Linked DNA regions of Rattus norvegicus. The protein of the gene in region 2 purifies or fractionates together with the protein of the main gene of each other region. This does not show direct contact. Links are inferred from orthologs where the notes say so. Each region holds a gene or a part of one and is shown on either strand. Other genes may lie near its edges.

Region 1 (3,489 bases), on a different chromosome or scaffold from region 2:
CTCACCCTCAAAAGATTGAGTGTTGATTGTAAAACTTTACCCAAGTTTTTAAAAGTCACACATGGCTAGGTGTGGTAGTTGCACACCTTTGATCCCGATACTTAGAGGCAGAGGCAAATGGTTGTCTGTGAGTTTGAGGCTAGCTGGTCTCCAAAACAACATAGAGCTGCAGTTTTCAACCTGTGGGTCATGACCCCTTTGAGGGCCAAATGACCCTTTCACAGGAGTCATGTATTAGATATCCTGAGTATCGGATGTTTATGTTATAATTCATAACTGTAGAAAAATTACATTTATGATGTAGCAATGGAATTTTTTGGTTAGGAGTCAGCACAAGATGAGAACTGTATGAAGGGTTGCAGCATTAAGAAGGTAGAGAACCACTGACACAGACTGATACATGTATGCTCATGGGTCTGTGTATCTGTAGAACAATACACATGGCTCTGGCTTCTATTTCTAGTACCACATACATGCACATTAAAAAAAATGTGAGGGGCTGGGGATTTAGCTCAGTGGTAGAGCGCTTACCTAGGAAGCACAAGGCCCTGGGTTCGGTCCCCAGCTCCGAAAAAAAAGAACCAAAAAATAAAATAAAAAAATGTGGGGCTGGAGAGATGGCTCAGTGGTTAAGAGCACTGGCTGCTCTTCCAGAGGTCCTGAGTTCAAATCCCAGCAACCACATGGTGGCTCACAACCATCTGTAATGAGATCTGATGCCCTCTTCTGGTGTTGCTAAAGTACACTACAGTGTACTCATATACATAAAATATAATAATTCTTAAAAAAAAAATGGGCTGGAGAGATGGCTCAGCAGTTAACTGGCTTCTTTTCTAAAAGACTCAGGGTCAGTTCCCTGTGCCTACATTGTGGTTCACTACCTTGTAGAACTGTAGTTCCAGGGAATCTTAACATCAGACACACATTTGTATACATATGTATAGGCAAAAGACGTACACATAAAATTTTTTTAATTTGCTGCATGGTTTTCCAGGAAAGTGGTAATACCTGTCCATTGCTGAAAATAGAAAATATTTCTATGTAGTGAAAAGACTTAAACTTACTCCAGAATCTCTGTTAAAATAGGGCAGTGTGTTAGATACTTTGTAAGTACATTTCCAGCCATCTTGGTGTGGTTTCTTATAGAGGCTTAATCATATGGGCTTATTCTGTGGTTCTCTGTGGCTCTAAACCCTTGTTCATGGTCACATTTGGGAGGTTTGTGGTGGGGCCTTGTCACATTCTGTCCTGCCCCACGCTGCTGCCTCTGTCTGGGACGGACCCAGTGAGCTGAAGATGAATGGATAGAGCTTCCTCCTAGTTAACTCCCTATAATGCATATTATTCCCAGATTTTAATCTTGTTTACCTTCTGAAATTCTAATTAAGCTTTTGGGGGGAGGGGCTTTTCTAAAGAAATAGTTGAGTCAGATGACCTACCTTTTGACGACGTTTCTTAGAGAAGATTTTTGTTAGTTTTGTTTTGTTTCAGTTTTTGAGACAGGGTTTCTCTGTATAGCTCTGGCCATCCTGGAGTTCACTTCGTAGACCAGGCTGGCCTCGAACTCACAGCAACCTGCCCTTGGGGGGAGTTTTTTTTTTTTTTTTTTTTTTTCCCCCACATGGAGAGGTTTAATGAGAGAAGAAGAGTAGAAGAGGGGAGGAACAAAGGCTGGCCATGAGCATGTGGAGGGAAGGGGGAAGGATGGGGCGAGAAGGGACAGGGAAGAGGGCACCAGAGCAGAGAAAAGGCAAGAGGGGGGGAGATTTTTAACAGGAATATCTTTGTATGATGTGATAATACATATCTAGTAAATGCTGCTTGCACCCTGTTTCCTAATTTGTTTATGGAATTTAGCCTTTAAAGCCCCATTCCCTGGGTGGTCCAAAACATGAGACCACAATGGCTGACTTCAAAGTTTCTTTGTGCTTTGTTCTGCAGGAAAAACTCTGATGAGGCTGACCTGGTCCCTGCCAAGGAAGCCAATGTCAAGTGCCCACAGGTTGTCATATCCTTCTATGAGGAAAGGCTAACGTGGCATTCCTACCCCTCAGAGGATGATGACAAAAAAGACGACAAGAATTAGCCCTGTTGAGTACCAGCCCCTGTCACCTCTGACTGTGGGTTTCCAGGGGGAGGGAAGGAGCTGTACTTGTCTTGACACCATTGAGGTGGCTTGAGAAGATGTCCTTTGAAGAGCCAGCATAGTTTCTGTGTCCTGCAGCAGCCCAAGTGCTTTAAATTGTTCACACTGTATAGTTTGCACACCCATCCCAGGGGAGGGGAAAGGGTAAGTGTTTCAAGGCTCTGTTCTGCGCTTTACTAAGGAAGGAACAGGCCTTCCATGGAGGACAGAACCCGCAGAACTGGGATGTGGGAAAGCAAAGATACTGTCGATCTTCAAAGAGCATCTCCACAACCCACTGCCTTCTTCCCAATAGTGTTAACTGCATTTTTACAGCCTAGCATGTGTGTAGTTTTTTGGCTATTACTGGTATATTAATTGGGGGTGGGAGGGTTGGGGCAGGGAGGAAGGGAGATGGGTAGAATCATTTTGATTAAAATTTGGAGCCTGATTGGGGAAATGGTGAAACAGTAGAACAGTTAACTAATAAATTGGTTCTATGTCCAGAATATTTTGCCTTTTCAAAAAATTGTCATTGGCACCATAAATAAGGACTATGAGAGACTGTTTAAAAAAAAAAAAAAGAAAAGTCTGTTAATCCTAAAACCTACAGCCAAGGTGCTCCCAACCTGAGCTCAAAGTAGCCCACAAAGGACAAAGCCAGTTCTGAGTTACCAAAGCTGCCATTTGATGATGGAAACTGACTGGAGAGGGAAAGTTTATTGGAGAGTATTAGAGGCAGACCACTCTGCCTCAGAGGTGCTAATTCTTGAAATTGGAGAAAACCTTTTCCAATTACAAAGTTATAAATATCAGTTTGTCCGTCTAAGCCATTGGCTCAAGTATTGCAGGAGGGCCTATGGGAGATGGAGGAGGGGAGCCTCTGCTCTGGGGGCAAACTCTTGGAGCCCCTCTCGCTTTTTCTTTTTTTTTTTTTCTTTCTTTCTTTTTTTTTTTTTTTTTTTTTTTATTTTGTTTTTTCAGCTTTGAACCCTGAAACTGCTTGTGGCAGGTTCAGTTACTGACAGCACAAATTCCATTGAGTCTATTCAAGGATTGAATGACTTCACAAGCCCTGGTCTCAGGAGATTAACTTTCATATTGGGGTAGTGGTTCACTTGAGAATACAAAATCTTCAGATTAACTGATGTCCAAAATACTGTCTTAAATCATGAGATCCATCAATTTTTAGTATTGTCTAGACCTGCAAATAGAATTACATTGTAAAATCTTTTTCAGCATGTGTTAAGATGTATGTGAAATTTTTTTGTTTAAGTGTAAACTTCATACCATACTGTCAGTTTTTGTCTTAATAAAATTATAGATTTCTAATTCTTGATTTCTGTCCTTTTTCCCCCAACCAG
Region 2 (4,429 bases):
AAAGAAGCCACAGATGAAAATACAAATTAGAATAAACTAGTCTTAGAAATGGAAAATGCAGAGTAAAAAAAAAGGTGGGGGGAGTTCGATTTGGTATGAGAGGAAAATGTAAGAAAGGAGTGAGGCTTATCTCAAATAGAGCAAATTACACATTTCTCCCTAAAGAAATCGATCAAAGCAAGGCATGCAGAAAAACTACTGAGAAATTCCGATTAGGCATCACTCTCTTAAATGTAGATGAAACAATAAACACCAGGGATTTTAGGAAGAAAAAGTTTCTATATAAAAGATAAAAAGATAGCAAAACAAATTAAAAGGATTCTAAGAAAGAGGTAGAGTAGAGAAAAGAAACGGGTATATCAGACATCAAAGAGTCAAAGTCTGAACAGGATAAAACTGAAATGGCTCAGTAGATAAAGGCATTTGCTGCTGAGCCTCATGATCTGAGCTCAATCCTCAAGACCCACTTGGTGGGAAAGAACTAAGTCCCACCAACTGTCCTCTGATCTCCCTCCCCAAATACCTTGACACATATATATGTGTACGCACGCGCACACATGCACATATGCACACGCAGAGCATAATGAACAAAGAGTAACACCTAAGGTGCACAAGCCAGAAGAGAGTAAGTCAGTAAGTAGGTCTAGAGTAAGTAAGTAGGATGGATGCAGGATACAGCATGTTAGGAGGACTTCTCTAGGAAACCAAAGATTAAAAATTAACTTTAAGATCACCTCTCAGGCCCAGGAGTGTTGTAGTGGTGGTGGTGCATGCCTTTAATTCCAGCAACTGGGAGACAGTTAAGTGGAACTCTGGAGTTCAAGGTTCTGGTTTACTATGCGAGTTCCAGGACAGATAGCCAAGGCTAACAAAGAAACCCTGTCTTGGGCAGGGGAGAAAAATTAAAAAACAAAACAAAGCAATAAAACGGGTTGGAACGGTCGCTCAGCAGTTAAGAGAAAGTACTACTCTTACAGATGGTCCACTCTATCTGGCAACTTCCTTTGAAATTTGTGAGCACTTGCACTTACACATGAACTTAAGTAACCCCCATTACACATAATTAAAAACAATAAAATAAATACACATATAAAAAGAGAGCTAAAACAAGGACTAGAGACACGGTTCAAAAGTTAAGCGCACTTACTGCTCTTCTGGAGAACCCAAGTTCTTCTATTCCCAACACCCATACTGGGTGGCTCACAATCCCCTGTAACTCCAGCTCCAATTCAATTCAATGCCCCCTTCTAGTAGTCTCTACCAGCACTGCTTTATGAAACTGGCAAGGCCAATTAAAGCCTTTCAGACTGTTTGAGTCTTTAATTACATGCATTTATAATTCAGGCTATAAAGGAGAAAGAAGAAATGCAAGAAGAGAGGGAGGCAGACAAAGAAGGAAAACAGTGTTAAGGGCCTCAACTAATATAACCATGTATATGACCAGCTATGTACATGAACATTAGTGGCACTTGTCCAGACATGAAGATAGTAAGACTACAAAAGATATTATCTGAAGTTCTATTTTAAACAATATCTTTATCATTTCTAAGTATTATTTCCTATTATACTAAAGAGTGCAATTTCTATTTTTTACTCAAAATTAGGACAACATTCTATCATGTTCTTAACAATATGGCCACAAATTTAATATGACCATTTATAAGAGGCCCAGAGCTTCTATCTTAAAACACAGAAGACGGGGTTGGGGATTTAGCTCAGTGGTAGAGCGCTTGCCTAGGAAGCGCAAGGCCCTGGGTTTGGTCCCCAGCACCGAAAAAAAAGAACCAAAAAAACCCAAAAAAACCAAAACAAACAAACAAACAAAAAAAAAAACCACAGAAGACATTAAGCTTAGCAATACTTTAATCCTGACTTTCTAGCTTCAAGAATTGTCCAAAAATAAAATTTTACCAAATGAAACCATCTAGTCTGTGATTTATTATGACAACCCAAGTAAAATAATATAGTATACAGCACACACATACACACATGCATGTATGCTCACACATACACAGACTCTGCTGTTGTTAATATATGAAAGACTATTAAGAAAAAGCTCTAAATCTTTTATAATTTTAATAAATGCTTATACAAGCATAGAAGAAATCTATATGATAATATATGCCAAACTGATAAACTATTAACATAAACAGTTAATAGAGATAAAATACTTCATGCCAGTTCATTTGTTACCTCAATAGTTCTATGGTTCTAAGATGTTCCCTATCTCTCACCCTCTATCATAAGTGGAATTATACACCACCTGCACATGAGCATCAGTTACTGAAGTAACATTTACCTTTTGGTTGAAAGGAACTGTCACCCATCAAGTTGTAGATCTGACTTTCTATACGTTGTCACCTAAGTATTGACATATGACATCAGTCAATTTTGAGTCATTTTAACTACAAATAAACCTGAAACTAAATTCTTGATAGAGGAGTTGAGGAGATAACATTGAGGTAAGAACATTTGTTTAACAAACAAGAAGACCTCACTTTGAATCCTAGCACATACATAAAAAGTAGTGGCCTTTAGCCTCAGTGTTGTAGGGACAAAGACAGTTCCATCCCAGTAGCTTGCTAGCTAGGCACTCTAGCCAAAACAGTGAGCTTCAGGCTCCGCGAAACACAGTTTGCATGAAGGGAGCAAAGCTGAGGGACAGGACAGGAAACCCTGTCTTTCTCGAACATCTGCCCAAACACACAGATGCACGTGCCTGCACTCACACACCAAAAACAAATACATAAAAGAAATTCTTGGATCAAATTTAAATATTTAAACTTACCATGTGACCACAAAAATCAGCAAGTTGTATCTCAGTTTGCCTTTCTAGAAAATAAAGATATCTACCATTAGGGCAGATGATATTAATGTATGTACATTTATATTTACCCTTTTTATAAAATAATCGGTTTATTCCTTAAGAATTCCAAATATCAGAAACAAAACTGTGATTATATCAAGTATTTCCTATTTCAGTAAATCTGACAAGTAAATAAAATAAAAATAATTATTTGTGACAAACGTGAAACATATCTATAATCTAGGTACTTGGGAGGCTGAGGCAAGAGGATCACAGGTTTAATACTTAGACTAAACAGGGAGAAATTGTCTCAAACAAATAAACAACAACATATAAATATATATTAATATATAAGTAACAGCAAAAAATTCCTCATAATGCACTGCTTTAGTAAATGTCACTGCCCAAATGCTAAATGATACTAATGTTGCCTATTCAAACTCAAAAATATCACTATTTCTATAATAAAACACAACTTTGACTTTATCAACTAACGAAAAAGAAAGCTCATCAGATTAATTCACTTAAGATAAGAGGTATTCCTAGTCAGCTAAGAGTAAGGTAATATGTTAAATTTTAGGTGAAAATAAAGATAGGTAAATAGCTTCCAATTAACCACACTTATAACTCATTGGTTCTCAATAAAAGTTACAATAAACATTACCAAAAGTTCACAATTGGCCAGGCATAATGGCACATGGGGCTGAGGCAAAAAGAATATCAACAAGTTCAAGGGCACACTGGGTTACATAATAAACTACAACTGGCTTTGGAGCAAGCCTGAAGACTTGAACTTGATTTCTGGAACTCACATGACCAAAAAAAACAAAACAAAACAAAACAAAAAACCCAAAAAAAACAAAAACAAAGACCTCATTCATGCAAGTTGTCTGCTACCTCCACCACATGTGTGCACAGGCATACACACACATAATAAATAAATAAATGAATTAATTAATTAACTAATATAAAAAGAAGTTAAGACTTCAAAAGTTATCTTTTGTACATTGAGAATAATATAAATTTATTTTATTAAATGTTTTAGCTTTTGTATAAATAAGATTAAATTATGCCTTAAAGGTTTCAATTGGTAACCAATGAAAAATTTAAATACCTGTAATCTCTTATTAATGTTTGGCAACTTTGAAATTCTAGAATAAAGAGAAGCTTAGGGGTAGAACGTTGGCCTACCACTCAGGAGGCAGTGGATACAATCCCCAATACTAAAAAACAAACAAACAAAAACAAAACAAAAAAGCCAAATCTCTTTACTATGAAAAATTGCCCAAAAAATGAGTTAAGAAAACTGAATTTATTGTAGCTGAGAATGAAGCTTGAGAGTAGAGTGCAAACTTAGCATATTCAAGACCTTGTGCTTGACTTCCCGCATCCTCCTTTCCTTTCAGCTTTTAATAGTAAGATAAACTTTGAAGTCACTACATTTCAATATAGTTTCAGACCACCAAGATGCCTCAGTGAGTAGAGAACTAGGCTATGTAATCCTGGCAACCTGATTTAAAGTGTAGAACTCAAGGTAGAGACAACTGACTCTAGAAAGTTGTCCTCTGATCTCTACATGCATACTATGTCATACACACATCACACACACAAACACACTTAACA

Evidence for each region.
Region 1: the proteins of Zfp280d (region 2) and Cbx1 purify together in Homo sapiens (affinity purification with mass spectrometry; 4 studies listed by BioGRID and IntAct, with this or other methods). This does not show direct contact. The link is inferred for Rattus norvegicus from reciprocal best matches to the Homo sapiens genes ZNF280D and CBX1.

The regions. Positions count from the first base shown.
Region 1 is NC_086028.1:82,283,717-82,287,205, forward strand, and holds the end of Cbx1 (chromobox protein homolog 1), read left to right. Parts: intron 1-1,941; coding exon 1,942-2,086; 3' UTR 2,087-2,715; downstream 2,716-3,489. UniProt on the Homo sapiens protein: Component of heterochromatin. Recognizes and binds histone H3 tails methylated at 'Lys-9', leading to epigenetic repression. Interaction with lamin B receptor (LBR) can contribute to the association of the heterochromatin with the inner nuclear membrane.
Region 2 is NC_086026.1:81,885,318-81,889,746, reverse strand, and holds the start of Zfp280d (zinc finger protein 280D), read right to left. Parts: upstream 2,833-4,429; 5' UTR 2,789-2,832; intron 2,362-2,788; 5' UTR 2,328-2,361; coding exon 2,300-2,327; intron 884-2,299; exon of another isoform or gene 735-883; intron 1-734. UniProt on the Homo sapiens protein: May function as a transcription factor.